Linked DNA regions of Drosophila melanogaster. The protein of the gene in region 1 interacts with the protein of each later gene in a pairwise test. Each region holds a gene or a part of one and is shown in the gene's direction. Other genes may lie near its edges. The genes, in order: Tbcc, Prat2 and CG1638.

Evidence for each region.
Region 2: the proteins of Tbcc (region 1) and Prat2 interact in a two-hybrid assay, tested with the Drosophila melanogaster proteins (one large-scale study listed by BioGRID).
Region 3: the proteins of Tbcc (region 1) and CG1638 interact in a two-hybrid assay, tested with the Drosophila melanogaster proteins (one large-scale study listed by BioGRID).

Annotation. Positions count from the first base shown.
Region 1 is NT_033779.5:4,182,137-4,192,602, reverse strand, and holds Tbcc (Tubulin-binding cofactor C), read left to right. Parts: upstream 1-4,809; 5' UTR 4,810-5,036; intron 5,037-5,103; 5' UTR 5,104-5,119; coding exon 5,120-6,187; 3' UTR 6,188-6,353; downstream 6,354-10,466. Other genes in the region: Naprt (nicotinate phosphoribosyltransferase), read left to right, coding at 1,779-2,044, 2,111-2,520, 2,584-2,661; lectin-24Db, read right to left, coding at 3,376-4,455.
Region 2 is NT_037436.4:6,909,199-6,920,813, reverse strand, and holds Prat2 (phosphoribosylamidotransferase 2), read left to right. Parts: upstream 1-5,937; 5' UTR 5,938-6,124; coding exon 6,125-6,173; intron 6,174-6,233; coding exon 6,234-6,400; intron 6,401-6,849; exon of another isoform or gene 6,850-7,057; intron 7,058-7,286; coding exon 7,287-8,714; 3' UTR 8,715-8,815; downstream 8,816-11,615.
Region 3 is NT_033777.3:31,584,637-31,595,105, forward strand, and holds CG1638 (uncharacterized protein), read left to right. Parts: upstream 1-5,944; 5' UTR 5,945-5,981; coding exon 5,982-6,100; intron 6,101-6,156; coding exon 6,157-6,209; intron 6,210-6,262; coding exon 6,263-6,505; intron 6,506-6,565; coding exon 6,566-7,482; 3' UTR 7,483-7,680; downstream 7,681-10,469. Other genes in the region: rod (rough deal), read left to right, coding at 1-392, 453-961, 1,020-1,389, 1,447-1,711, 1,782-2,607, 2,667-3,300, 3,361-3,471; CG1635 (uncharacterized protein), read left to right, coding at 4,117-4,223, 4,284-4,354, 4,408-4,650, 4,710-5,635; CG1774 (uncharacterized protein), read left to right, coding at 8,484-8,673, 8,731-9,959; RpL6 (ribosomal protein L6), read right to left, coding at 10,288-10,469.

The DNA of each region.
Region 1 (10,466 bases):
AGTAATAGAAAAATCAAATGATTAAATAGGCGAATTTAAAAGCATTTACTTAATCTATCTTTCCATTGTCATTTCCTTCTAACCTAATCCTAATCATAAATCACATCTGCATTTTTAACAGCATTTTCTTCTGCTTTTTTGTTTAAGACTTTACGCTCATTATTTCAAATGTAACTAACAAAAATCTAATTTAGAAGTTACTATCCTGGATCATTTTGTTAGCTCTACTATTGAACTATGATTTTTACTAATATAAGCCTTGCATGACGACGTGGAGAAATATTCAACTAGAATTTCGATACAAAATTCAAAATTTCAAACCTCATATACATATGCATATATGCGTTTATATATCTAAGCTAATATATATATAATATATGTCCATGTATATGTCCTCTGCTTTGGTGTCACGAAATTGGTCAAAGATCCTCGAGAGTGGGAACTAATCCGGGCAATAGATTCGAACAATGAAAATCAACCAGAACAGGTGAAGTCATTTTATTTTATTTATTTAATTTATCGCTTTGCTTTCTCCCTGTTGCCCGCCCAATTTTCTACAGTGTAATTTTTCGTATCACTTTCTTCTACTAACACACGCTCAATTATCATTATACATTTTTCCGTTTCATATTATTTTTTCTAACTGACTTTTGTTTATTATGCTTTTTATTTTTTCTCGTCCTAAATGTGAATGTGAAACAAATAGAAATCGAAAACATAATCGAAACCGAATCAGAATCAGAAAACCATAAAATATCGAAAGCAAATGAAAAGAATTTACGAACCTAACATAGTAAACAAATGACTTCCGGCACTATTTTGGCAGAGGTATGTAAAACACACGTCTTCAACCAACAAAAACATGAGAAAATATCATATGGCATACAATTCACCTACTCAAAAGCAAAAAATACGACAAACGAAACCAAAGTTCATGCATAATGATATACGATCCTTAAGCTCACAAACACATAACCAGGTGCATAAAACAATCAAGAGAAGTGCAATTAAAACAATTTTCTACTGAACCTTGATCATAACCAAATAGTTTATTAACAAAGCTAAACAGTTTTGTTGAACAAAACGTAAAAAAGTAAACTTGTTCGCTTTATTTCTGCATTGTTTTAAGCACATAAATGAAAAAGAAACCTACGAAATCACGCACTGATTCACCCTAATGCTGTCATAGACTAAACCCCGTTCTTATTGTCCTCGTCTTCAGTTCGAAAACATTTTGGTTTTAGGAAATTAAACTTAAATTTTCTTGTTTTCTGTGCCCCAGTTTTGTATTGTTACATACATATATTTTTCGAAACATTTTATTTACGACCAACAAAGAGAACTTCAAAAATGTTTTTTCTTTTTTCGTTGGTTTTATGACCTGTACATAGTTAAGAAAAGCGTCCGAGAGAGCACACTGCATGGCTTGAAAAACAAAACCGAATAACTTCGACTTTTTTGTGCTGCTGCTCCCCTTATGAGAAAATTATGGCATTTTCCCAGGCTTCAAATTTCGAACACAAAGAGCCGCACCTGCAAATCGAAGAGAACCAATTTGAGTTCTGAAACACGTTTTATAGCTCCACCTCACTTTCGAAACATTTGAATTTGCGTAATTCTCGCTTTCAAACTAGTGACCAAAAACCAAATTTAAAATATTGTATAGCAAAATGAGTAAAATGAGTTTAACGTTGAATTGAAAACCAAAAACCAAGCAGCACTTGTTGGAATCCATAGATGCGACTTCTAAACACATGCTTGTGATTTCTTCTCCACAGGAGTGGCTTGCTGAATTTCAGCGCTGTGGCCTTGGCCCTCAACGATCTGGGCTACCATGCGCTTGGAATTCGAATCGACTCCGGGGATCTGGCCTATCTTTCCTGCCTGGCACGCGAAACGTTCGAGAAGGTGGCGGAGCGATTCAAGGTGCCGTGGTTCAACAAGCTGACCATTGTGGCGTCCAACGACATCAATGAGGACACCATTCTGAGTCTCAACGAACAGGGGCACAAGATCGATTGCTTTGGCATTGGCACGCATTTGGGTGAGTTTGCTGTACTTATGTACATTTGAAATCTTGAATGTGTTGTAAATATTGTGTATTTTGCAGTTACCTGCCAACGACAGCCGGCGCTGGGTTGTGTGTACAAGCTCGTTGAGATCAACGGCCAGCCGCGTATCAAACTGAGCCAGGACGTGGAGAAGGTGACGATGCCGGGCAACAAGAATGCCTATCGGCTGTATAGCGCCGATGGTCACGCGCTCATCGATCTGCTGCAGAAGGTATCGGAGCCGCCGCCAGCGGTGGGACAGAAGGTACTGTGCCGGCATCCGTTCCAGGAGTCGAAGCGTGCCTACGTGATACCCTCGCACGTGGAGTCGCTCTACAAGGTGTATTGGAAGTCGGGCAAGATTTGCCAGCAGCTGCCCACGTTGGAGCAGGTACGCGAGAAGGTGCAAATCTCGCTGAAAACGTTGCGCAACGATCACAAGCGCACGCTCAACCCGACGCCCTACAAGGTGGGTGTAATCATTTGATTTGGCTTACGAAAAGGGTCTAACCAATGTCTCACTTTTTTTCAGGTGGCTGTCAGCGATAATCTCTACAACTTCATTCACGATCTGTGGCTTCAGAATGCACCAATTGGCGAGCTATCATGATCTATATAAGGAGGATCTGGCAAGGATGCGCTAAAACATTTCCGAGAAATTTACTTACCTTTGGTTTTCAATATTTGTTGGCCTCGATTTTGGGGTCGTGGTGGATTAGTTTTTTTTTTAGTCAATTGCTGGTCATATGCATTGTAGAGCTGGAACTCGTTCCGTCACACGAGGATTTCCCGCTGACTATGAAGCACAAACTCCCACGCAATTTAGCGAGTGAATTTCAAATCAATAGTTTTAACGTGTTTATCTAATATTTACTACTACTACTACTACTACTATGTAAAACGCACATCATATTCAGGAATGTGTAATGTGCCTTAAACGAGAAGCGGAAGCGGAATTAGAATCAGGATGCACAGGAATCACGAACCCAAATCGAGTTACTAAGTTACAACCAAATATCGGAACGGAATAAATATGTCTTTAATATTTTTCTAGTACTTAAGTGTTGAAATGTTGCGAACGAAGGATGAATGTTAGAAGTACAAATGCTTTTTAGGACATTTGCACGCAGTAGGGCACAACACATCAAGCACACAACTATAACTACTCTATCTATATATAACTACATACATACTGCGATTATGTATTTAACTAAAAGGTAAAAGAGCGCCGCAAAGAGAAATCAACTTTCTACGACAGTTTGGGAATAGTTTTTAGTATCTGTATCTTTTATTTATTTCGAATATGCAAAGACAGTGTTTTCATTTAAACTTCTTTGTCGGTTTGACAAATAACATGCTTCTTTCTGTGGCACGGATCATCGTTCATTTTGCTCCTAATCAGCTCCACACAGTTCTCATCTTCATTGCCGTGATTGGGTTCGCCCGCATTCCAATTGAGGAATTCAACTTCCCTGCCGGATGCCACGGATACGTAGGTGTTACTGCTTTGCAAGTCGTTTATGCCCAGCCAGTAGCTCTTGTCGTCCAGTCTCGCTGAAATGGCGTCCAGCTCCTCTTGATCCTTGATGGCGGCTATATAGCCACCCATGTCACGACAGAAGTCTACAGCGGATTGCCAGTCGTAGGCATCCTTGTGATTTATGTAGAAGAGTCTAGAGCCGATTCGCTCAAATTTCGGCCAGAAGACCTTGGTATAAATTTCCTTGAGTGTGACTTGGTTGGCGGACTGCTGAGCTCCCAGCTTGGTCAGCTCATCCTTCTGATTCTGCTCCAACTTTTGCAATTTCCGTTCAAAATCCTCTGGGATCTTCTTTAGAGTTTCCTGAAGTAACTTCTGCTGTTCTTCAATCTGAGCCAGCCGCATTTCGAAATTTATCGGCATGGCGTTCTTTAGGGCTTCCAACTGATCCTGCTGAGATTCCTTGGTGAGATTGATTTGATTTTCCAACTGGTCGCCCAATGTCTTTTGCTGATTTTCCATTTTCATTAGCCTCGCATCGAGTTCAGCTGGCATTTTCTTTAGAGACTCCTGCAGTGTCGTCTGAAGATGTTCCATTCGGTCCAGTCTATCCTTGATGTCTCCTGGAACCTTCTGCGCTGATTCCTCCAAGGATAGCGCTTGTGCCGCCAGCTGGGTCTGTATCCTGTCCAATTTGCCCTGGGTTTCGTTCAGCCAGAGGGCCTCGGAGGTGTTCCATTGCTCCTGGTGCTTTACAATGTGATCCAATAGCGGTTGGAGCACCGAAAGGCAGAATTCTCCGCACTGATTTGGCGGATCTTTCAGAAGGCACACGGATCGGGAATTTTCTGTGGATTCCGCTCGTGATTCAACCAGATTGCAGGCAACAAGTAAGTACACAATACATTTTTCAAGCCTAAACATTTTGATATCGCACAACCACTGCAAGCGCAGAAATAAAACGTACTGATCCGCATTTTATGTAAAAGGTTCTACAGAGCAAAAAAGATAAGACCCATAATTTAAATTTAATTCCGTTTTTGCATTTATCAAGAATTTATCGCTTCTGTGGGCGACATTCAATGTGCTTTGTGTTCGGCGAGATGTTTGATTGTATTAAGTTTCTTACGCTGCTTACAAGAGTTCATAATTAATATTATCGCATTTCTCCTATAAAAAATTCAAATCTAAAATTTCCCTGGCGCGTATTCTTCTTCTTGCCGCCGTTGCCATTCACCGTGCGCATTAAACGGTAATGTTGTTTGGTCTTTTTTAGTACATAACTGTTGACACTCACAACGATTAGGCAACATTTGTTATTGTGAGCAGCTGCACAAAATAATAAGAAAATTAAACAAAAGGTTAATAAACAGAATAAAAATAATATAATTTCTCTTAATTTGAACTACAATCACTGCGCATATGATACGTGCCCAGTAAGAAAGCCGCGTTTTCCATGCATTTCTCTGCAGCTGCGCAACTTGGCAAGAAAAACAACAACAACTGTGATTCATACGGCCAAATAGAAGTTATGCCCTAGAAATTGATTTTTAACCAGATATTTCGTTATAGATTGATACCGAAAATCATGGAAGGCGACGCGGAAAATCGCAAGGATCAAATCCTCGAGCGTTTGAACAAAAGAAACAAGGACAGGCAAAACTATTTGGATGTGAAATCGGAGCTGCGTTCCAAGGAAACAGTGCAGAACGAGGGCGTTGACTACTTCTACCAGACTTTCAGCCAAAAAACCATGGATATAGAGCAGCGATTAAAGGATGTGCAGTGCGGCGATGGCCAGCCAACCGATTTGGCCAGAAACTTCGCCGACATAACTGTGGAGATCCAGGATCTGCAGCGATATCTCACCGCATCCACCATGTTTCTGCCCGACTTCAAGATCAAATCCTGTCAGAATATCCTTAACACCCTGACCGCCGTCAGTGATGAAACCCGCCAGCGCCTGTTGCCCAAGAAAAAGTTTGGTTTCAGTGGCAAAAAGACCGTCACAAAGCCAAAAGTCCCTCCAAATAAGGATATAGTCGACGCGAAACTCAGTAAAGTCCCAGAAAAACTAGGCTCCAATTTCACGTGGACGATTGCCAATCGAACGAACGAGCATATAGTCCTGGATTCCGCTAAAGTCAATGGCCAGGACATCACAATATCGAAACTGAACCACTGTTTGGTTGAACTGCAGGGTCATCCCGGTTCTGTGCAGGTTTCCAGGGCCTCCAAATGCACGCTGCTATGCGGCCCCATCGCACGCTCCTTCTTCGCCGAGAATCTCGAGGATTGCACCCTCTCCATTGCCTGCCAGCAGTTGAGGTTGCACTCCTCCCGGTCCATTCGCATATACATGCATGTCACCTGCCGCGCAATAATCGAGGATTGCAAGAGTATTGAGATCGGAGAGTACAACTACGATTATTCCAAACTGGAGGCCGACTACCTAGCTTCTGGACTGAATAAGGCACAGAACAACTATACGGATGTGGCCGATTTTAACTGGCTTTCGCCGGATGTCCCCTCGCCGAACTGGAGCCTCCTCAAGGATTATCCCGATCCGAATTGGAACGCCTTAAGGCGCGACTTTATTGCCAATAACCATAACAGCGAACTTAAGCAGGATGTCAAGGACATATCCATCATTTAGTGGCGGCATCGGCGGCTGCTCCTCGGTTGGCTAGCCTACGGCATCATCCTCGGTTGGCTGCTCTGGGAAATGCTGCTGCGGCCCTCAGTTACAGGCCCAAAATCTAATCCTCGATCTGTGTAATTAGCTATAAGCGTGTTGATTAAATAACCATTATGTAAAAAACAAAAATAGTCTCTTGTATATTAAGGGACTCCAAATCATTGTCAAAATTTTTTTCAGTATCTCAGCAGTAATCATTTTGGAGTGGGTGAGTTAAAGTTTGACTTCTTCGATAACATATGTACATATGTACATGCGTATGTACATATGTATCTGTTCTTGTTTATGTCGTGGCTAATTTGACATGTCCAATTCGGATGTGGCATAATCAGTGGTTGGCCAAAATGGCTGTGGCTGCCACACACATTCCGGAATGGGCGGAAGACGGCGCCTCATGCAAGTTTCATGTGGCCACAACAGAACCTCTCAAGCCATTGCCTGCACATTGATCGGGTCACTCCACTTACACATCAGGTTTGTTCTGAAAATGCAAAAGTAAAGAAATACTTTAGAAAAGCAAATTCGTATGTACATATGCTTTTCATTGCGTTTTCTGATTTGATGCAAAACTAAATTGATATTAATAATTTATTTTTGTTTATTTTAGTTTTTTCGAACTGTCAACTTCAAAACTTATACGCAATTTTAAGTTAGAGTATCTGTTCTTCGTCATCTCTTAACTGTTAAGCTATTTTACTCTTCCCCCATTCACTCACCATTTCTCTCATCCCGTTGACTTTTGCGGCTGTCAACATGGCCGACTGTCAAAATAATTAACGAATTCGAGTTACAAGCGGTGAAGAAGGGGATGCATCTCCGCAAATAAGTACATGTGTGGTATATATGTATGTATGTGGCTATAGCTCATGAAGGCGGAGGAATCATCGGAAGAGACAACTCGTATTAGCGAGGTAATTGAACTGCGAGTTACACAAGTAACGGTGATGCTGTTAGATTGGAAGGGGGAAGGGGGGAGAGCCAAATTGAGAGCAGGTAATGAGCTGTCACAATTGAGGATAGTGACAAAAACGGTGTGAAGCAAGGAGAATAACAGATGCACAAATACCAGAGTGCGAAACAACGGAAGATCAGCAAGTGAAGTAAAGAAAAACGCGAAAGTGCGCAGATTTTCGGCTTATCTCTTGGTTGATCTTCAATATCTCATTAAACTTCGCTTTCATTCAATGTGAATTCACGATGAGGAATAGTGCATATTGGGAGCTTACTACAAGTAAGCTACAAGTAAATAAATGTAAGGAAAATGAGTATATAAATACACAAATCACATAATTACGGTGTATAATATAGCAACGACTTTTGCTTTGCTTTTTTTATTTATTTTTTTAAGTGTAGTGATATTGGAGTGATATAAGTTTAATCAAATTTAAATGGTGTGGTGATATAAAATACAAATATAATTTAAAGTGGCATGGATAAATCATTTTAAAATTCCGAATGAAAGGATTAAGAGGTATGTACCCGTATTGAAATGTTATGTACTGTATCTATTATTTCCAATACATTTTAACAACTTATTTACCATTTCAATACCATAAGCAATACACAAACAGAAATTGTTCCAATCTAATTGCAAATGAATTGTCGATAATGTGACGAAATTGCATCAATTTGCTGTCAGTTCATGTCAAGTGCACATGATTCGCACTCACCTGCTATTCACCTGTAATTTCCACTCGAGTCTTACCAAGGTTTAGTTTCATTTTCAACATAATAACGTTTGAATATCAAATGGTGCGTTTTATGTTGGCAGGCTATGGGAAATAGGATCACTTCTTAAACTAAACATATATTATATTAAAAATATAAAATATTTTAATGTGTCTTTCAAACTTGAAGATTCTGATTATTTCTTCTATCTTATCGTCTTTGGCGATTGCCAGCGACTGCAATATCCGTTTATTTAAATGAAGCCGATACACTATCAAATCTAATTGCTTTCACACTTGAACTGTGTTGGTAATTCCGGCCGCACACACACACACACACACACACATACACACATACAGTATGCATGTGTGCTCACAATACGGACAGGTGCATCTGGTGGTGCCACATTTGCATAGCTCACAATTAGTTTTCTCATTATCGCAGATAATATTCGCCGCATTTGCGATAAGACCGAGGACCCAACAACGGTGACCGCCCCCACATTAATATTATCGCAGTGCCTGTAATTGCCTGACTCTCTCACACTTTGATGGTTTCAATTACTGCAAAATCACCGAGCCGCGCTACCTTCGTCCTGGCTCCTTCGCTCTATGCCCACGGTGACCCACATGCAATCCGCAAATGCCTTTGTGTGCGGATTTTATGGCTCAGCTGATGTGGCCAACGATGCTAATTTACGCATTTAGTTAAGCGGCCTTAATGTGTTGGCCCAAAGTGTGATTTCTAGGTAGGAATAACAGCGATTGATCAATTCAGCCAAATATCACTCATACGCCATGTATAAGTTAACACAATCACAAAACACCCGAAATATAGTCGTAAGCCTCAAGTGCTTTTCCCATCTATAGATCGAGCTTTACCTATAAGAAACTGTAACTTGTTAAGCTTTAGAGATAAGAACTCTTGCTTTACTTAAGTTAGTCGATTTTGGAAGATTAGAAGCGTCGGTCATCGCCACGTACTTACTATTCGTCTCATTAAGTGCAGACCGCGCAAGCCCTATTGTAATTAATAAACTTACGCTAATAAATATATGGAAAATCTACTAAAATGATAATTGGCGCCCAAACGGATATAAAAACCTACGATAACTGAATAATTATAAATAAATAACAAAAGGAGGATCCGGAGACAAAACCAGCGGCTTTGGCTAATTAACTCTAACCTAAGAAATAAAAGTTTCGTGATTACATAAAGTATAATATTAATTACTAAGACCATCTACCTTAAAATTGTTTGTTAATCACTATTATTATATTGTAAGTATAACGCTTGTTGAACGAATTGGAAATATTATTATTATTATTATATTATAACCTATGCAAAGAGTATTGATAATAAAAATACATGAGTGACAGTGATAACCTTTTGGACAACCTAGTGTCAAGCTTAAATAAATGGTCAGCGCACCAGGCAAGTAGGCAAAACAGTGCAGAAAAAAATAATAGGTCATCAGATAATTGGTGGTCAAAAACAAAGACAACTAGCGAAATGGAATTTGAAGCTCAGTTAAAAGCGATCGTAGAGAGTGCTGTTGCCGGTGCGCTCGCAGTCCAAAAACAATCATTTGAAAAGCAATTGCAGGAGATGAATGAGCGAATCGGGAAATTAACAGTGAACACCCCAGAGGTGGAAACTTATGTAGATGCTGAAATTAGACCAGGTGTTGTCTGTAGCGAGCCTCTAGATATAATTAAATCTCTGCCAGATTTTGATGGCAAAAGTGAAACATATGTGTCGTGGAGAAAAGCGGCTCATGTCGCTTTTAAAGTTTTCAAAGATTACGAGGGAAGTTCAACATTTTACCAAGCTCTTGGTATTATGCGAAATAAAATAAAAGGTCCAGCGAATACAGTATTGGCTTCTTTTAAAAAACAGCTAAGAAGAGAAAATGTAACAAGACGAGACAGAACCTTTGAGGTGGGAGAAACCGTCATGGTAAAACAAAACAATCGCTTGGGAAATAAACTAACCCCACGGTATAGGGAAGAACTAATCGAAGCAGACCTCGGGACAACGGTCCTCATAAAAGGGAGGGTCGTTCATAAAGATAATCTACGCTAGGTTTAGTATTTCTTTTCCTTTTGTGACCATCGCCAAGTTAGCAAAATACAAACGTGAAATCTGAACACTAGTAAAAGAGTTTGCAAACATTTTTCAATTAAATATTTGTCAAATCCTTCTTATTTAATCTTTAAACATTTTGTATTATTTCCGCTTCATCCTCTTTAGAAAATTTTAAAGGTATGTGATGAAATGCTAGACCCGAATGATTTGAAAACTTAAAGTCCACGCAACCACAAATATTTCCTGAAACTACCATAGAAAATAAATGCATTACCAAAACGGCATAATAACAGTATAGCGCACTCACTCTAATTAGATTTCAAATTCCCGATTAAAAAAAAAAATAAAACACTAATGTTATCAATACCCTTTCCTGATTCTGTTCAACTAAATAGGAAAATCAATACTTGCAATCAATAAGCGTTTTACTACATACTTTAATATCAAAAATATCTGAATGAACTTTATTATAAAATTATAA
Region 2 (11,615 bases), on another chromosome or scaffold:
TTTTAATATATTTCTAATACAACATTTTATTTATAGTACGAAGTATATGGTAGATTTAGCTTTTCTATACAGATCTTCGTTTTTCCGGCAGTTGTCAGTCGCACTCGTTGTGCCGTTTTTGAGTCGACTTGGTCCTTGTCACAATTATTGTATAAATTAACGTCACAAACAAATGTTACAAAAGTCGCCAATGAAGTGGAATGATGCGTAGAGCGTTAAACTGCCAACCCCGACACCCTCCCTCTGTCCAGGAACCACCCTCTCTCGGTTTGACCCATCGCCCCCACCCGCTTACCGCAAATGTGCCTAATTTTTCGTTGTTATCCTTTGTTGCCGTTGTCCTCGTGTTGGTGTGTCCTGCCAGGACTGAAGTCTCCTAATAATGCGTAAAATTTAATGCACCATCCTGAGGTTTCGCTAGGCAAACAAGCGCTTCTCCTGTACTCCAATCGCGACAAGTGATTCCGAGATTTACGGCTTTTTTGGGGATGGTCTACGTCTATCTAGTCCTTTGCCACGGGTGTCCTTTTTGTTGTGCTAATGTTTGGCGTTTTTATGGCTTGCAGCAAATTTGATTTATTGGCAGAACTTGAGCGTTCAGTTGTTCGCAAACTTGTGTAAAGTTTTCTTTGGAGGAGAGTTCATCATATAATTGATGCGATTTGCGGTTCATAAAGTGCAATTGCCTGTAAAGTGACAAAAGCGAGGCAAGATAAATGCTCGCACACATATGGGAGGATATTTTTGTGGCCTTACAAGAATGGAGTACACTTAGTTAATAGAATAGATCTATCCTTGTTGGATTTTATATTCAGAGTGCTCAGAAACAAACTAATTTAGTACCAGTAAGTAATCAATTTAATTTGTAGCCCTTATGGGTATTTTCCCATTTTTCAACAATTTTATATTAGAAAGATGAAGTTTCAGTAGATACTCTAGGTAAACAGTTGGTTAAATTCCTTTCAAATATTTTATTTTATTTGACAAATGCACCTTGGATGCGAGTGTTGCCAAGCCCATTCCAAACTAGATCAGATCATCCTAAAGGTGATCAAAGTGTGTCAGTGCAAAACGCTGGTCTCTTTGTTTGTCTTCCCCGGAGATCTGCTCATTTCCCATGCCAAACAGCAGATATAGATACAAAACTGAGACGACGACGCCGACGAGTCGGCCTCATTAGGTGACCCAAAGTGTCCGAAACTATGCAATTTACATGCACAGAAGCCCCTCGGAGATAGAACCCACGAGGGCCAATAGACCGTGGAAGATAAGAGCGGAACTGGAACTCAAACCAGACATGCCACACCAAAAAAGCCAACCAGTCCCATTCGAATTATGTTGTACTGCGGCTATTTCGAGGGGTTGAGGAGCTGACTATCCCAGCGAGATCGTTGCGGGGCGATACATAAAATTTGAATGCGTTTTGCATACATTAACCCACTGTTGCCCACTGTGTGCCCACTGTATGCCCGGGGGTGACTCTGACTAGTAACGGTCAGCAGTTGACCAAAGGCTAGTGGAAAATGTGTTTATTAAATTTTATGATTATTGGCCGGCAATTGAGCAGCTCGCCTTGGGAATGTGTCGCCATTCTCCCCTTTTATTATATATTTTTTTTATTTCCATTCCCATTTCGATTGTGAAAATTGAAATTTTATGCGCACAAGTGGCAAGTTCCTTTAGCGAGAAATGGCCTGAAATTCTCACGCGTAACTGGAGCAGTTTTTGGTGGCTCTGTTTTCGCTTACACTTTGTGTTGGTAATTCAATTTACGTTTTCGAAATGCTAATTAACCCGTCCGAGAAAGAGAAGGTCTCTTCTCGCGTTTATTTCTGGGTGTTACACATGTTTTGGGAACTGCCTAATGTGCCACAAATTGAATGTCATTAAGATTTTACAACGGAACCCACTGTAAACACGTTGCGACCCCCTTTGACAGACATCAATCAGTGGCTCATTACGAATGCACAAGTTGGCTTTAAGAAAGCGCCAACAAAGCCACATGGATTTTTGGTCTAGTTCTTAAAGATGAGGTATTCGACCAGGGAAAACTAATTAAAGAAATATTGGTTGGACGACGATGGGCGTGAAGGCGGCGGTACACATCGCTGGACAATTTGGAACGCTCCTCAAATTGGCAACTAAGTAAACTTGAAAGCTGCTGGAGCTGGTCCATCATCCAGTCGGGTCTACACGCCCACTTTTTTCATGGGGGACTACTATTTGTTGTTGTGACTGCTTCGTTATGCAAATTCATGATGGAGGAGAAAAGAAAAACCATCGCGAAAACAAAAGACAGAAATGAAAATTGTGTGCTATATGGTAAATATATATATATATATAAAGCAAATGCAAATTGTATATAAAGAAATGCCAGAAAAGACAAATAACAGGATGGAACGGCAGAACAACAAATTTTAAACGACGGATTTCTTTAGCTTTCCAACTCTGTGTTTTCTCCCCGCTTCTTTGGAATAAATAATAAACGTAAACGAATTAAAAACGCTGGACGAAAAACGATGGGGAAGGGTCCTCGAACCGAAGCTGTCCTTTCGATATTTTTGTGGCTTCTGGTTTTGGTTTTGGCATGGAGAGTAATCATCAAAGTTCTTCTGAGACTCTGGTTTCTGTTTACTTAAACCAAGTTTATGCGGCTTTCAATTAGTTTTAATTGAAATTTCCATTGGCCAAGGAAAAGCAATTGGACTGTGCGTTTAATTAAAGTTTTACCAGCCATGCTGATTGCGATTGACTTGACAAGAGTTAAGATAAAGGCATTCAGGTTGATTAAAAGTATTTAGAAAGCTAGTATATTAAAGATATTAATATCTATATAGTAATATGTAGAACTTAGAATTTAAAAAAATGGCTTGATTTATATTTGCAAGGTTTCTAAACCCGTTGCAACTTTTGCGCAATATCTGGCTAGAATAATTGCCCACTTGAATGCCAGCATTAGGAGAACATTTTATTCAATTGCGGCTGGCGGGGAAAAACAAATAAAATTTATTTTCCCCCTTTTTTTGGTGGTCACTTCTTCGGGAGAGAGCATAAAATAAAATGAAATGATGCGTTGAAAGCAAACCGAGAGCCCTTGGCTACTTTCCTCTACCAAAAAAAAAAAAAAAAGTGGGCGGCGCCAATCCATGTGTGGTTGCCCAAAAGGATAGGATGATTCGTATTCCGGTGATTCGCGATGGAGTGGTGGAATGGAATGGGGATGGTATGGTATATGGTATAACGTTTTTGGCTCAATAGATATGTGGCCATGGGGTCCGGGGCCATTTGATGATTTTTGCGTCACCGTTGGTCAAAATCATTTCGAGCGCAAGCAACTGGAAACTGTATAAAAATAATGAAAAAGGAGGGCAGGGGAACGCAGCGTGGCAACGAAAGCAACTTGAAATAAATGGTCAAAAGAAATAAACAGTCCCATAAAGAATAATCATTCAGAATTCTGCTGAATTATGCATGAGGCAGACGGTCCGTGGTTCATGGTCCACAATCCATGGTCCATCGTCCAGGAGCTGCAAACTGGACGCCACTCCACGAGGCGAAGGAGCAGCAGTCCAAGGAGCAGCAGGGGGTGTGGCACTCACATATGCGAAAAGTCCCTCCTGGAAACGCGAACCCAACCCAACCCAAGCCAACCCAACCCACTTGCTGAAGCATCATTTTCCTCTTTATTATCTGTTTGCTTAGCTGTGAGTGTGTGCTGGATTTTTATCAGACTTCTAAGCAGTTAGCTGCCTACACAGTAAGAATTAAAAGCCTAAAACATAAGTTAGAAATTAAAAACAAAATTTTAAACTTAAAATAGGGCTGTAATACTACTAATAAGAAAATATACAAATACACAAACTCTTCTCTGAAATTATAAGCCTTATTTTTATAAATTTCTTTATTTATTATTAATTATTATTATTTTTTTTTTTGTTTTATTTATAGGGAAATAACTATTGACTATTTCTTAAGCAACCATTTCTGTCAGTGCATTAGCCGGCTTCCACTTCTATTTTTCCGGTAAGGTGGAGCTTTGGAGGAGGTTTCCCGCGGAGCAATTCGGCCTGCTCGGTGGCGCTTGGCCAAAAGTCAACCAACATTCGCATAATTTTCGATAAAGCTTTTCGCCAAATGAAATTCAAGTGGTTACACATGTCTCACTGCCACCCAACCCAAACCCAAACCCATCGCAGCGATTTTCGCTTGGTCATTTTTCTTGGACACCCCTCCCCAAACAGCATATAGTATTTCGGTTCTTCCAAAAAGTCAGGCTCATTTCCACATTATATGCCGCATCTGATTATCTGCGCTTTGCTGTTTGTTTGCTTAGTTTTTGTTTATTTCGTTTGTTTGCTTGATTGTTTGTTGTTTTGGCCGAAAAATGCTGATAATAAAAGGTAATGATGGGGGGCTACCTATATATGGGTTATCTCTTTGTTAAAGGGCGACTATGAATCGACGGATTTGGAAATGGAAACTTTAAGTTTTGATAGAGCAATTGTCATGGGGATGCTAATGGAGATTGCGAAGGGATTACGCGTATTTTGATTAGGAAAGTGGCAATAATTGTTGGTTGGAAGAATGGCATACTCTTTTATTTACTATTTGCCAATTTGGAGTATAATGATTATAGTAAATAGACAAATTATTCAAACACAAAGCGATAGTACTTTCATTCAAAGTAGCTTATCCAGATATTGGAATAGTTATTTCAAATAAATTTTTGAATTTTTAATTCAACACAACTCTATTATATTTTTTGTTTATTTAAACAACTTATTCTAGCGATTAAAAATGTCCCGTTCTCGCCGACCTTATACAACACGTTCATAAATACGGCGGTGTTTTGTCTGGACCCCTCAGTTCTGCTTAGCACCTATTCGAAGTGAATCGGTTTTGTTGGGGAGGGCGAGAGACCCACTTTAACAGGTAGACAACACGACTTAACCACAGCAGGCTTATGCCTGCGGTCGCTTCGATTGCATCAGATGAGGTGCGAATCCCAATCGGAAGCTAAATTAGTGCTAAAAAAAAAATAATAATTAAATTGAAAATCAGTTGATCAGCGATCACATGGCTTTGGGTTTTCTAGCCTATAAACAAGTGGCCTGCATGTAATATATATCAACTGGTGGCTATAATTAGCACAAGTGATTAGTTGGCGACTGAAGTTGAATTTGTTTATTGTTTACGATCCCTCATTTAATCGTGCGATCGAGAGCGGATCGATCAACCCTCGCCGATTGTGCTCTACTGGGGGGCTTGGAATTTAGCGTACATTCGCGATAGCACAGCCCATTTAAGCTGCAAAAGGAAAACATAATTTAATCTGTTATTGTTTACGCCGAAATGGAAAACACTTCTAAAATGCGTCATTGAACGCATTTTCCCGATAAGCAACAAAGTGTCAACATGAAAGTTGGATGGATTATGTAAAAGCTTAGGCAAGACAAGAAGATTTTTCGCTGACTCTGTCTCCAAGGGGGGCCCTTAAATATAAATTATTAAACTTTGAACTTGAAATGCATGTGCTAGCGCATCGAGCTGATAAGGAAATCGATGTCGGACTCGTTTAAAAAGGCGCATATGATTTGCTGATTTGAGATCAATGCCAAAGTGAGATGCGTGATTTTGAAGACTAGACAGACATAATGCGGTCATTGAATCGGAATGATGTTGATCAAAGCCAAAACGTGAGAAAGGAATCACAGTGTTTATTTTTGGTATAACTGGCATAAATCGGCGGCGGTATCAAATTTTGTGCCCGACATGCGTTTCTCGATGCGGTTGTGGAACCACCGGAATCTTCCCGATCCCGCTCCGCCCGCCGAGATTGCATTCCCAGCTCAACTGATAACCACGACGAGTATATCAGCTACCAGCCATATATGTACGATGATCGGAGGTTTAATTAGGCGCGGCTGTAACATGAACATTCATAATTCCGCTGGCATTCAATCAATGCAGACGTGAACAATTCCAGTAGTGACCGAGTGTTCGACTTAGCCAGCGATCTCGTGCAAAGTGTACAGTGTCTCAATCGTAGTCAATACCAATTCTCAACCAAGAAAATCGATACTCAAAACATACGTAGAAATAGAAGTTACTAAAATCCAAGCATATGATGGCGCAAAGTGATTCTGGAAATTGCTGTGCCAAGCTTAATAAAGGTAAGAATTCATAAATATTTAATAGTGATTGTGCACAGTTAAATCTGCAATCTGCAACAGATGAGTGCTGCCAGAAGACAAAGGATGTGATCTTGAGCGGCGTATCTCCCAAAATGTTTCCCGACAAAATCTACAAGTCTGTTCAACCCAAAGGAGAGGATGCCACCGGAATGACCTGCGAATGCGGTGTTTTTGCAGCCATCGCTTGCGGGGATTACCCAACACAAGTAAGAACAAAATATTTTTTTTTTTAATGTAATATGTAATATAGGACAGATAGGACATATAGTATAGAAAAACACAAAGGTAAAAATTTGGGTTTAAGAAAAAATGTTTAAAGCAAAATTAAACTTAAATATAATACTTGGAAAATTCCGGAAAAATATGTGTAGCAGATTACAATCAATTGTTAATATATAATAAATATTACTAGGACATAGTAGATAGCCACCATGAAATGCCGATCATAACTATATCAATATCTCGAAGTCATTGGGGCTGTCACAAGCCCATCATCACCCGTTTAGCAAGATCCTATGGACGACCATGTAGTACGTCAGACGTATGCCAATCAATGGTTAGTGGGTCAATGGTTAGCCCCGTTCAGATACACCCCCTGCTGATCTTCTAACGATGTCCATCTATCTGTGGCCAATGCCCAGTGGCTGCGGTGACGTCAGTGAGATCGAACTGAATCGCATGGATTTGGTTTGCCGTGCGGTTGTAATCTCTGTTGTTCATGTTTTTATTGCTCGACTGTAATGAAATGGAAAATAACAGAAAGTACTGGTGTATTCACGGTCGGAAATCGGCATACAGTTATCTGTTTTGCTAGTCAACTGATTGGAATTAGCATTACTAAACTATCTTATATGTTGGGCTAGGTATGCAGAAAAAAAAGTATTAAGTTGCTTTGATCTGATGTGATTTGATTCAAGAAAATGCTGAATAACTAAGCTTAAAATAACAATTCTTAATACTGAGTTTGGAAAATGATACGCCATATCGATGCACAGCACCCCCTGGTCTTTATTATTCAATATTCACGTTTATTATTATATTGTAAAAAAAATAAGGAAAATAAAGTACTAAATGGGATTTTTCTGCTTTCAGCTGGACATAGCACAGATGATCTGCCTCGGTCTGGTGGCTCTGCAGCATCGTGGCCAGGAGTCGGCGGGAATAGTGACCAGTTTGGGCAAGTCCTCCAAGAATTTCAGCGTACACAAGGGCATGGGCATGATCAACAATCTGTTCAATGACGAGGCGATCAGGAAGTTAAAGGGTAACCTGGGAATAGGACACACCCGGTATTCCACGGCCGCAGCCTCGGAAGTTGTGAACTGCCAGCCGTTTGTGGTGCACACTGCCCATGGAGCACTGGCCATTGCCCACAATGGTGAGCTAGTGAACTGCGAGTCCCTGAGGAGGGAGGTCCTGGAGCGAGGAGTGGGCCTGTCTACGCACAGTGACAGTGAACTTATTGCCCAATCCCTGTGCTGTGCACCAGAGGATGTGTCGGAGCACGATGGACCCAATTGGCCGGCCAGAATTCGCCATTTCATGACCCTGGCTCCACTCTCCTACTCCCTGGTCGTGATGCACAAGGATAAGATCTACGCTGTCCGCGATTCCTATGGCAATAGACCGCTGTGCTTGGGAAAAATCGTGCCCGTTGATGCAGGACATGCGAATATCAATGACCAACTGGCCGAGGGTTGGGTGGTCAGTAGTGAAAGCTGCGGATTCCTCTCCATCGGAGCCAGATATGTTCGCGAGGTGGAGCCCGGTGAGATCATCGAGCTGTCACGAAATGGTTATAGAACCGTGGATATCGTTGAAAGACCGGACTATAAGCGCATGGCATTCTGCATCTTTGAGTACGTCTACTTTGCCCGCAGTGATTCCATGTTCGAGGGTCAGATGGTTTACTCAGCCCGCCTGCAATGTGGTCGCCAGTTGGCCAGGGAATCGCCATTAGATGCGGATTTGGTCAGCTCGGTTCCGGAATCGGGCACAGCAGCTGCCCATGGTTATGCCAGGGAGTCGGGACTGCCATTCGGGGAAGTTCTCTGCAAGAATCGCTATGTGGGCCGCACGTTCATCCAACCCTCGACGAGATTGCGACAGTTGGGCGTGGCCAAAAAGTTTGGTGCCCTGGCTCAAAATGTCGAGGGCAAGCGGATCGTGCTAGTCGATGACTCCATAGTGAGGGGAAATACCATTGGACCGATTATCAAACTCCTGCGAGATGCCGGCGCCACCGAGGTGCACATTCGCATTGCCAGTCCTCCGCTGCAATATCCCTGCTACATGGGTATCAATATACCCACTCGTGAGGAGCTAATAGCCAACAAATTGAATGCGGATCAGCTGGCGGATCACGTGGGTGCGGATAGTCTGGCCTATTTGAGTGTGGAGGGTCTGGTCAAGGCCGTCCAGATGAACAAGGCCCATGTGAATCCACTCAAAGCTGGCTACTGCACCGCTTGCCTAACGGGCGAGTATCCTGGCGGATTGCCGGAGGAGCTCAGCTGGTAGAATCTCTCAGCAATTATTAATTTCATAGGATTAAGGTAGTTCTTAGCTTCAGCTTGTATATAAATAAATATATTTAAAATTTCGGGTCTTTGACCTATCACAAAAAATGTTGTTTTTAATTAAGCAATATAGAGGTTTTTGTTTCGAGATAAGGAATAATAAGTAGGACATATATTTGAACGCTTCAAACATTCTGGAAAATAACAAACACAAGCAGTTACATATATTATATATAAAATACATATATATATTAAAATATCTTAAAGAAGACATAATTTTAACATTTTTTTGTTACCACCTTTAACTTATTTACTAGTTATAACCATTTAAAATTTTTTTATTTATTTCCTCACTTTATTTGACTTTCTCGCAGGCAAGGAACACATACTCTAAATGCTAATGGGCCACATCAACGTCTGATTATTTTCAAAACTGTCTAATGCCATAACTTCAATTCATTTCAATTTATATTTCCAAGCTCTGTGTGCCGAGGGATTCAGGGGCAGTGGAGGAAGTAGAGTCGCCCGCTTCCGGTTATAGCCGCGCTCAGATATAGCCCCATATCATACAATATGGTAATCGTGTTTGCTTTTTTCGCCCCGTCTCTTTCCGGCTATGTCCTGCCGCCCACCCACATCCTTGTGTTCCGCTCTCTTTCTTGCGGAGTCTCCCCAGTTGGGGCGTTGCAATGTCTAAAGCGGGGCGTTAAGGGCGTTTAATCCTGCGGAAGATGTCCTTGCGGTTATGCAGAGGGGTATCCGTATCCTCTCTCATCGTATACAACTTTTTTCTTTCTTTCTTTCTTTTATGACTCGCGCCGGGTACTGGAGTCAACAATGTCATCATTATTCTTGAATATTGTGTTGTATTTTCGCAAACAATTTCGCTAAGCTGCGCGGCATTGGCAAAGCCGGAATGGGGGTGGGGGTGAAAAATTTGGGGGTGGGAATGGGTCTGGGTGGGAAAGTGGGAGTGGGTTTCCCTACGCTGAAGTGTGGCGAGGACATAAGAGAAGAAAATAATACTGCACTGTCATTGTAACTCGCTTGATTAATTCTTGTGAAGGGTATATACTGCAAGCAGTTCAGGTTTTGGCAAATGAAATGTAACAACATTTATATTTATTTAAAAAACAAAGACAATGAAATGTTATAAAAACATTTAAATTCTTCATGAAAACATAATTTATTTCACACACTAATAAAGTAAATTATTAATTTTTTTTAAGAAGTTAAAAGTTATATAAGATATGAAAAAAATCAAAGTCGCTTTATAATTTCAAAATTTTCCAAAAGCTGTAGAGGAATTTCTGGGTCCTGTCAGCTTCCCTTTTACGGCGGATCCCCATCACCACTCCATCTGAGTTCTCACCAAGTGGCTACATAAAAGAAACGACTCCTGGCAACATTGAAAACAGACGCTGGCACTTCTATCCAACACACCAGCGTCGTTTGCTGCCACAAGGATACGACAGAAGGACCAAGATATCCACGGAAAAAAAATGGCATAGAGAGGCGAGAGCGTTTGCTTATGTGCGCCGTCGATCACAAACACAAACATCCTGTGCCCACTGCCGCAGACAGTGACAACTAAGCAGTGCCATATTGCCAGGAGCCCAGATGAAGAACCCCCATTGGAAAATCCGCCCTGGAAAGGCCCCACCTCTGCGCCGCAAAACATGCTTTAAATTTTTTAATAACGCCAGGCTACAAGAGCGCTGACGCCCACGTCCGGACTTGGGATCCGGATCCGGTTTTCGTGCCCGATGACGACAGCCGGCCCCGCCCACTTCGGCCTGCCCGCCCACCGTCGTCATTTGCACAGAAGTTATGTAAATTAATGTTTACTTAAGTTCCCCATGTTATTTCTCCTTCGCATTTCTTTTTTTTCGCCTTGCACTTTCAGAATGTTTCCTACTTCAAAAACAAAAGCAGACAGCGGGTCGGAAAATTGTGAGGGGGATTTTAAAAGATGGCAGAGAGGTAGAAAAAAAAAATTGCAATAAATTTGGCAGCCGTTTTTGCAATTTAATAAAAAGCTTTCGCAAGCGGAAGGAGAAAAGTCAGCTCTAGTATAAACAATCAAGCTTATTATTGAGTCAAATGGCTGAGTAAATATATGAGCCGAAATTATGGCAATCGCATGCAAATGAAACGGCCGTAGATGAGGATTATGAAGCCATTATCCAAACACTTGATGGAAATTGTCGCCGCTGAAAATTTAATTTAAACATCAACGCCGGGGGCATCGAAGGCATATCCTTCTGCCACTTGACACATGCAACAAGTTAGTGGCAGGGGCCAAAAGCCACACGAACCGTCGAAAGGCAAAGAAAAGGACTCCTTTGCCAGCTCGATGTCCTTTGCAATAGGCACGCAAAACGTGCCCGGCATGCAAGACATGCGATGGCCAAAACGACATCGTATAAAATGTAATTTTCTGGCCAATAGAGCACTTTGTGGGCTGCCAGGATATCAAGGGCTACAGCCAGAACATCCTTTCTCCAGTTCATTAGCAAATCAAACTTCCGTCTTCTTGGCCTCAAGACATTTCTGGCATGTGTCCGACGCAAAAAGGCACGAAATTCCTGTCCACTGAAATTTGCATTCCTCGAAACCCCTGATGCCAAGGACTAGAAAACTCCTTGTCAACTGGTAATTTGATTTAAGGACTTTGGCTTGACCAAAACAACAGAAAAAGGTAAGTGGTCAGCTGGGATTCGCAACATATTGTCTGGTATTTATTTAAACTATAATGTTAAGCATTTAAATAAATTAAACAAATTTATGGAAACATGCTTATAACTAAAATTACTGAAATGACTAAAAATTATGAACAATAAAAAATAGATAATTAACTTTTCATATTGTGTACAAGTTTTAAGATTAAAATCTATTTAAT
Region 3 (10,469 bases), on another chromosome or scaffold:
CGGCCTCCTCCCTGCAGTTGATCAATGAAAACGATCCGCTTAGCTTTTATTTAGCGTACGAGTTGCTCACCTCCGCCCTGCTCCACGAGAGCAGCCGTCGTCACGATCTAGTTGAACTCATCAAATACATACGCGTGGCCGTAATCCACTACCCGCTAGACGCCATTAAGAGTCACTACGACGGCAAGGAGCAGGCCGTCAACGAGCACATCTGCCGGGCCCTCGATGGGATTTCGGTAGCCCTGGGCGAAACCACAATAAACTTCAGTTGTGCTCTTAACGGATCCTTTGACGTGAAGACTCTGACGGTTCCAACGACTACGAAGAAGCGCTACTCGGTGTCCATGTTTGATGAAGTAGAAGTGCAGCCTATCCAGCAGCAGCCTCAGAAGGTATTGATCGTAGACAGCTATAATTGACTATAGTTATAATGCTTTCTGTTGTCTTCGAAGAAAAGCGTCGGAGGTCGCATGGCAATAGTGAAGTTCTTGGCTCGCACTCTGTTGCTTATGGTAATCGAAACGGAGCCAAACAACTCATTGCTGATGCAGGTTCGCAATGAACTGCCGGAGAACACAAAAGCGGATGTCGAAAGTGCTTGCGCTGACTTCTTTCTGTCACTGGAGCACTTGACGAAGGTGAAGGAGCACGACGCTTGGTACGTTATGTCGCAATATCTGCTGGATTTCCAGAAGCAAAACTGTCGCACGAAGCGGATCATCAACGAGGGCTTTATTACGCTGCAGCTGCGCCGCATATTCCGAAATGCGATGGGGAGCAAAGATGTGAACTTCATAGAGCTTTTCACCATGTTGGTGGTGGACAGCGAGGCACTAGCGCTGCTGGAGAAGCTCTCCGTTGAAGTAAAGACCGATCTGCAAAAAATCAACTTCCTGACACTATCCGCCATGTACCACGAGCATATCGAAGACTTGGACAGTGTGCACATGATACGCACCAAGTAAGTGAAGTATTACATTAAAAGTCTAGATGTTAAACTTCGTTTTATTGGTTTGCAGGAGATTGAAACTCTTCTATTACCTGGAGTTTTGCCAACAGGATCATAGAATAAAGGGCAAGTTCAATGCCGACATGGACAACATAGAGGACCTGCTTAAGGAGTTTCACAATAAGCAACTTGACGTTCAGCTTTTGGAACGCATGAGCAAGGACTTTGGGTTCGACTACCAAAAGATTCTTATTACCCAGATACTAAGCATATTGAGCGCCCAGGAGTTGCGCTTCGAGGTGAAGAGGGATACCTTCGGCGACGAGGAACTGGTTATGCTAAGCAGCGCCCAGGAAATGCGCGATATGTGCCAACCGTACATTAATGAAATCAATAATGTCGAGCTCTTTACTTCCAAGTTAAAACACTTTATTGAAGACGTAAGCTCACTGATGCCACAAATAATCTTTTTTTTAATATCTTTGCAAATCGTTTAGATCAACATTTACTTCTACGAGTTGTACATGTGTGTGATCAACATCCTAATGTACTTCGATTCGGCTCCGAAGGAAATGGAAATCTGGATGAACATTTTGCACTTCCTGAGACACAAGATGATCACCAGAAGACGCAATCGGCCAGGTCAGGTGGAAACCGACACGTGGCTGAAATCACAAAGGGAAAATGGCGTTATGCCGAAGATATCTCGATATCGTCTGCCTTTTAAGCCCATCGTAGAGCAACCTCTTAAGGATATTCTTGGTATATTCAACTGAAATAGTTTAATGCTTAATGCTTCTGTTTAATTATAGTTTCCGCTTCTTCTATTCAGACAGCGAACTAAACGTGGACAACTGCCAAAGCTGGTTTCCACTGATTCAGATGTACACGGCTTTGAAGGGATCCAAGGATAGTTCCCAGAACTGTGACTACTTCTGCATGTCAGCAGTAAAGAATTCGATATCGGAGTACAAGTCGAAAAATGATTCGGAATCATGGAGTCTTCATCCCACGAATAATGCCTTCCTGCAGTCAATACTACGACTGGTCGAGAAGGTGAACAACCCAAACAAGGCATTTCTAATACTGTACTTCGTGTCCAACTATGCTCGTGATGGAGCCGATCAGGTGGAGGCCTCCTACGAGTGCTGGAAGTTTGTCAAGGAGAAGGGCCACCTGATTACAGATCCAAAGAGTCGCGAGCAGGTTGCCAAGGTGAAGCGACGGTATCCTATTCAGAAGACCCAGCACCTGCTGTATGTCTATGGCCTGACCGATGAGAAGCTACTGCGCCAAGTTGAGAACCCCACCGAGCTTATTCAGGCGCTCTACCACCATGAGCTGATCCTCAAGTCCAGCAAAGTGGATATTAACGCTCTGGTCGCAGAGATAGCCAAGCTGCACGACCTCTGCTTAGCCACCATCCAGTACCGCCTGCTACAGAAGTGGCTCGCTCTGACTATGGAGTCTGCGGGTGATGGTACCATTTTGGAGGAGACCTTCATGGAGGAGCAGAACTGGCCGGAGCAGGCCAACGGCGCAGAGTCCTCCAACAGCCAGGACGCCAGCGAGAACGTAAATAGAGCGTTTTACATACTTTCCAGTTGGCCAAAGGCGGAGGCAGTCAAGTTCCTTGTGGGTCTGATCTTCAAGGGCGGGTAAGGATTGGTACTTAAAAGTTAGCGAAAATAATTCATTGAATAAACCCTTCCACCAGTTCGGTAAACACCTCCACACAGCTGCAAATGTACGAGTGCTATTCCAAGCTAAACGATGGCAGCAACTCCTTTACCAACACGATTAGCCAACGCCAGTTCATCAGCATCAAGTGTGTGCACGAGCTCAAGGCTCTGGGCTACAAGTCGAACCTGGAGAAGTTCTCCGACGACCATTGCAACAAGATTGACATTCTGAAGATGATCTGGCAGCGTAATGCGCAGAATCCCCTTTCGCTGGAAGTCATGGCCAACATTTGCCTGGGCTTTGATATACACTTGCCGCAGATCTGGAACGGCATTCTGAAGCGCATGGTCATGTTCCATATGGTGCGCGAGCTGAACGCCTTGTTGGATGTACTCAGCTGCCGGCCGCATCTACTTCACCTGGATGGACTGGCCCAGGCCTGGGACTATGTGCTCTGCCATCCTCTGCAGAACGCAGTCGAGCTACGATCCTTTAAGCAGGAAGAGGTGCTCCACAAGACGCTGCTGCGCCTGCAGGGCTGTCCGGTGGTGCACGCCCTCAACCTGCTACAGTTCGCCCAGCTCTGCATCGTCGTCCATCGACCGCACATGGCCGCCTCTCTACTCAGCTTCTGCCAGAGCAGCGAGCAACGCCAAAAGATCAAAAAGGTATGCTCGAACCGCGCACTTTAACGAAATGCTCTATTGTCACTCTAACTCTTCTTGCAGATGATACATTCCCATCCGGTGGAGAACCTTCGGCAACAGATCTTGGATCTGGAAGATGCTGGTATTTTGCCGGTGGTGCTGAACTTTGCGCTCAAGGAACTAAATCTGTAAGCGTAGAGATTTGGATTTTACTATTCCCATAATTTTTTGTTTTATTGGTCGAATATCTGCGTTAAGTGCGTTCGGGTCAAGATACTTTTGTAAATATCAAGGTTTTATACCTGCAAATATAGTTTATACAAACGATGACTATTTTCTATTTTAATTTTAATATGTTATTTTATATACAGTAGCAATTAGTCAATATTCAAACAGTACAATCTCTTAATTTCATAATTTATGCATCACAAAACAATGTGTTAATTTGAGAAATTGTCTAGGGAACTTCGCTTCCCAGTTTAAAATTAACAACAATCGGGATGACGTCATACGTATGTATCACTTCTGTAAACAGTGGGCTCAAGTTGATGGAATACTGAAAATAATGAGATATATTAGGATTTTTTTTAAATGAAGACTTTGTTGTGTAAAGAACAGTCAGTCTCAAATCAATTTAATTAAAGTAAATGGGAAAAAATTAATATACTAAAGAATCGAACTTTTCGAAATTAGTTGGAGACGAATTTTCTCGAGCCCACTGTACCAGTCAGCTGTGGCCGCCAGCTGTTTTCTATTTGGGGTTAGATCAAAGACAGGTTACACTTTGTATGTAACTTGAAAAGCAAGGAGAAAGCTGCGAAACTAAGTTAAACCGAGATGATGCGTTCTTTGATAGGAGCACAAAAGTGCTGGGGCCTGATCCGCACCAGGAACTTTATGGAATTACCCACCAAACAGGTGCCAGCATCCTTCGCATTGTTCAAGTAAGAGCAAAAAATAAATGATGAGCTTACATGGTAAATGAGTACTTTCATCTCTAACAGGCGTCACTACTCACCGCCCACGCATATCAAGCAATCAGCGGTCGCCAATGAATCCGGAACCATGGCGGAGGGTAAGTGTTGTCTTGCCAGAGTCAAACCCATCGTAATCCCCGAACGTCTGCAGTCAAGCAGGGGATGATGAAGCGATTGGGGCTGGAGCCCGGTTACAACCCGCTGCCCAAATCCAGGGAGCAGCTGCTCAAGTACCAGCCGAAGCTGGAGGATCTGCCTCCAAGAGCTATGCAGGATTCCTTCACCTCGGCCATCATTCCTCTGAGCACGGACCGCAGTTTGCAGGACAAATATGTGACCTATCTGGGCAATGTGCGATTCGGGCGACTTCTGGAGGACATGGACTTGTTTGCTGGTATGAGGAACACATTTGCTGGAATCTTGGCGCACTTTCTCACTATCCGCTATTTCCAGCTTGGTGCTGTCATAAACACCTGGTTCTGCCCAATCTGCCGGAGGGAGTTCATCTGCCGTACACCTTTGTGACCATTCTGGTGGACCGCATCGATTTCACCAATGTCTTGGCTTCAGGCACCCAAGATATCCGTTTGTCTGGGCACGTTTCCTGGGTGGGAACCAGTTCAATTGAGGTGGTAGTGTGGCTGGAACAGATGGTTGGCGGGAGGTACCAAAAGTTAACCCGTGCCTTGTTCCTGATGGCAGCAAGAAACGCTAACAATACCGGAGCGGCTCCTGTGAACCCCTTACAGCCGGCCAACGAGGAAGAGAAAGTGATTCTGGCTGGCGGCGCAGATAGAAAGAAGAAACGTCAGATTCTCTGTGCTCAGTCCATCTTTAAGGTGGAACCCAATGACCCGGAGCAGACAATTATGTACGAGCTGTACAAAAGGACAACTCCCACCAACACTTTGGAACTCAACAAGCGCATCCTGCCACCAAACTGTCGCTGGATGGAGGACTCTTTCCAGATGAGCACTATTCCCTCATTTCCGGAGCACAGGAACCACCACAACCGGGTCTTCGGAGGCTTCCTCATGCGAAGTGCCCTGGAGATAAGCTGGGCAGCAGCCTACCTCTACTGCAAAACGCGACCCAAGCTGGAGCACATATCCGACATCAGCTTCGAGAAGCCCGTCAGCGTGAACAGCTTCATCAAGATGACCGCCTATGTGGTGTACACCAAGGAGAACTACGTGCAGATCATGACCGTTGCAGATGTGATGGACCCACAAACGGGCAGCCAGGTGACCACCAACACGTTCTACTACACCTTCTCGTCTCCGGACACGGTTACCGAGGTGCTGCCCCGCTCCTACCACGAAACCATGTGGTACATCCAAGGTCGTCGAAAGTTCGAGGCCAGCATGGGCCCAGTGTAGACATGGTTCAGCCTGTGATTGTTACTCAAGATATTATGCAAGGCTATCCTACCAGATAAATGCAATTACCAGTTCAGTGTTTACAAAAAGCAATAAATGTCTGTTGTTTAATGATGTGCTTAACCAACCAGCTTAAAACTTTTAAAATCTTCTATTAAACCCTATCGAAGAGTACTAGATTAAATGTTTATTAATATAATAACTGTCAAAATAATCCCTAATTTTTGCCGACTTTACATTTTTTGGATACCCATTACCTGTAATCAAAAAAGCAGAGCTGAAGCAAAATTTATAGTTTTAATTTCGTGTCGGATCTGAGTTCAGATCTCGATCCCGATCCGTTTCCATGGGGCCTGGTCTTAGAAATGTTAAATTATGTGTTGTACCTTTTTTGCTCGGAGCCCGCAGCTGCCGGAGCTTGTTAAAGGCCAGGACCCTCAGGAAGATGACACATAAAAATTCCAGGTGAAGCACCAACACAACTAGCAGAAATCAGATTTTATAGGCCACATTTCTTCTAGCTCTAATGGGCGTAACTCCTCTGCGGACGGTCAATACGCCACTATGACGGAGAGTAAGTACTTCCATTCCAGAAATAGGTGCTACTTGTCCAGATATCCCTTTTAGTCAAGAAGAAGATGCTGAAAAGCTTCGGCCTGGAGCCTGGGTTCACCACGGAGCCGAAGTCCAGGGAGGATCTACTCAAGTACCAACCCAAGTTTGAGGACTTACCTGCGCGATCTATGCAGGACTCGTTTTGTTCGGCCATCATTCCTCTGAGCACGAATGCAGTTCTGCAGGACAAGTATATCAACTTTAGAGGCTTCGCGCGCCTTGGCAGGCTTCTGGAGGACATGGACATCTTCGCCGGTACCATCTAGTTTGGCCAAAGCCATGTTGTTGAATAATTGTCTGCTTAATTCTTCGTAGCTTGGTGCTGTAATAGGCACCTGAAAGTGCCCAATCTGCCAGAGGGAGTACCCTTGCCGTACTCCCTCGTGACGGTCCTGGTGGACCGGATCGACTTCACCAGTGTCTCACCCCAGGGCACCCAAGACATCCGTCTGTCTGGCCACGTGTCCTGGGTGGGAACCAGTTCCATGGAGGTGGTGGTATGGCTGGAGCAGATTGTCAATGAGGAGTATCAGAAAATCACGCGAGCTCTGTTTCTGATGGCGGCGAGAAATGCCACCAACACAGCTGCGGCTCCAGTGAATCCCATTCAGCCTGCCAACGAGGAGGAGAAGCGCATCCTAGCTGGCGGGACCGACAGGAAGAAGCAACGACAGCTACTCATCGCTCAGTCCGTCTTCAAGGTGGAACCCAACGCCGAGGAACAATCTCTCATCTACAAACTCTACAAAAGGACTACTCCCAACGAGCAAACCGGTCCGCGCCGCCTCCTGCCTCCCAACTGCATTTGGATGCACGACTCCTTCCAGATGAGCACTATTCCCTCATTCCCGGAGCACAGGAACCAAAACAACACTGTCTTCGGGGGATTCCTCATGCGCAGTGCCCTGGAAATTAGCTGGGCAACAGCGTTCCTCTACTGCAAGGCCAGACCCACGCTGGAGCACATATCGGACATTAGCTTCCAGAAGCCGGTCAGCGTGAACAGCTTTATCAAGATGACCGCGTATGTGGTGTACACCCAGGAGAACTACCTGCAGATCATGACTGTTGCCGAAGTCCTGGACGCGTACACGGGGAACCACGTGACCACTAACACGTTTCACTATACCTTCTCCGCTCCAGACGCGGTTACTGAGGTGCTGCCTCGCTCCTACCACGAAACCATGTGGTACATCCATGGTCGCCGCAAGTTCATTGCCAGCAGAAGCTAAGCCTCAAAAAAAATTCCCGCTCAGTTTAAATTCACGTAGTCAGTATTTCTTATAGCTAATGTACACAAAGACTGGATTAGTTTGAGCAAATCTTGTAAAATATGTTAACCAAACTGTGCCAGGTGATATTTCCTGATCCAAAAATCTATATGATGCCTATTAAATCGAGTAACTATTCAAATTCCTTATCGAAAGCAGAAAGCGTATAGTTGGCCGTTGGCCCTGGCTTTTATTTCGAATACCCAGTTGCGTGAAGATCATGACCACTGCCAATGTTCTGGGCACGCACGTGATTGGTGGTGAGCCCTACTCCCACTCCGCAGATTAGATTGGGTCCACAATTGATTCATAGAAAACATTATATTTTCGGTAATGTTTTGCTGTCTAATCAGACCGAAAATTGAATGTAAAACTTTCCATCTTCTTCGCTAGTCTGGCACTTTTCGAAAACATCATCTTTACACCTCATTTCAGATTAGATTGCAAGCTTGAGTAGATGCACTGAAAAATAAGATGTTTCTGTGCTAGAGACGGAATATATTCAAACACATAGTCAGTACAATATTATGGGATCACATCATTCTAGCATCAAATAATCTAACATATTTTCAAAAGATTTAATTCCCAAAAGATCAAAATATACAAATCCGCTCGAGAACCTACGCTATTTCTTGCAGTGCAGGCAGAAGATCTCTCACCAAGCGGACAGGTGATCGTCATGCGCGGGTTCTCAGTCGCCGGAGAGCCATGTAATCGCACAACGCGGAACATTTGCCAACGCTCCACTCGGTTCTAGAATCACTCTCTATTTTGCAGCCCAAGTGAAAGCACTTCATGTAAATCCGAACGAGCTGAGGCGTATTACGTATTAGGAGCTGGGAACTACACCCAAGTGCCCTGCAAGTGATTTCCCCAAAAAATCCATGCCATTGGATCCCCCCAGTAGGCGGTTCAACTAGTTGCAATTTCCAAGGCCCCGTCAACCTAGACACCTGGAAACGATGCTGTGTACCTTGGCACGGAGTTTTGGAACGGCGCTGGCGAGGAGGAGCTCTTGGTCGACTGCCCGGCGAAGGCGACTGCTGGCCACAAGTCCCCCCCCTTTGGCGAGCCAGCAGATGCCCAGGAGCTATACGCTAGACAACGGACCCAAGGTGAAGTCCGATCATCGCTCTGGAACGATGGTGGAGGGTAAGTCAGAGTCTATGTTCGCTTCGGAAAACCTTTCTGACACCTCTTTACCCCTAGTGGCTCGTGTCATTCGCGAGCAATCCGGCGTGGACGTGGGATACCATACGATTCCCAAGCCCCGAGATCATCTCCTGCAGCACGAGCCGAAGAGGGAGGAGCTTCCACCAAGAACTATGCTGGATTCGCACACCACGGCCATTCTGCCCCTGAGCTCCAGTGAGCTAATCCGCGAGAGCTACGTGAATCACCTGGGAAGGGTGAGATTGGGCCGAATTATGGAGGAGTTGGACATGTTTGCCGTATGGATCTGCCATCGTCATGTGAAGCTGCCCAAGCTGCCGAAGGGAGTGCCTTTGCCTTACACCTTTGTCACGTTGCTGGTCGACAAAGTGGAGTTCACCAACCTGGAGCGGTTGCAGGTCAACCAGGACATCGAGATCAGTGGTCACATCTCGTGGGCGGGGCGGAGCTCCATGGAGATTACCATCTATGTGAGGCAGTTGGCCCACGGCGAATATATTGATGTAACAAAAGCAATCTTCGTCATGGTGGCCAGAAATGCCACCAATACGGGACCGGCTCCCATTAATCCTATAGAGGTTGGCGATGAAACCGAGAAGCTCATTTGGGAGCAGGCAGAGAAGCGGCAAAAAGTGCGCAAGTCTTCTGCCATGGACTCAGTGTTCAACTCGCCGCCCAGGGAGCACGAACAGGCCCTCATGTACGAGATCCTCAAGAGAACCACCCCAGCCAATAGTATGGATCTCAACAAGCGTGTGCTGCCGCCGAAATGCCGCTGGATGGAGGACTCTATGCAGTCTACGATGATTGCTCCATTTCCGGAGAACAGGAATGCGCAGAACACCATCTTTGGGGGCTATCTCATGCGCCAGGCCGTTGAAATCAGCTTCATAATGGCTAGCATCTATCTGGGCGATCGGCCCACCCTCAGGTGCATCTCGGACATTAGTTTCATGCACCCGGTGCATGTGGATCGGTTCCTCCAGCTCACCGCCCACGTTGTTTACGCCGCCCAGAACTACGTCCAGCTGATGACCGTGGCCCAGATTTGGGATGCCAAGAGCGGCAAAGTGCAGACCACCAATGTCTTCTACTTGACCTATCGGGCGGACAAGGTGCTGGACGAAGTCCTCCCGCGATCCTACCGAGAGATGTTGTGGTACGTCCACGGTAGGCGGAAACTCCTGGGCGCTCTGCACTTGCAGCCGGAGTACCCCGATCCTATCGAAGTGGCCAAAGAGAGCTCAAATCATATCAGCACTTAGAATTAGCGCTAATGTAAATCGAAGTTGTAGTTGATCCAAATATGTTAATCTGATGGAATTTTAACTTTATAGCTGTTATTTTATAATTTATAGGATATATCAATGAAATAAAATTGTAGAAAGGAATTTAAATTGATGCTTGTGTGCAATTATTGGATTTTAGAAAATGAACTAATCGTCACAGCTGGGGTTCTTTGATGAAAAGGCCAAAACTTTCCGTTTTGTAAGGTTTATTTTACAAATCCTGTTAGTCTAACCAGCGGGCGCGCTTGTACAGTGTTTTTGCTTTAGAAATCCTTAAACTGAAGAACCAAATCCATCCCCTCGCTTAGAATCGCATGCGGTGGGGGTATTGGGAGGAGTGCAGGGCAAACATGTTCTGCAAGTACTTGGCGAAGAACTTGCCCTCGGGATGGGCCTTGATGACCTTCAGCAGGGCGGCGTCCACCTCCTTCTGGTCCTTCTTGCGCTGCTCGTTGGGCACGAAGCGCTCCTTCTTGGCCGCGAAGA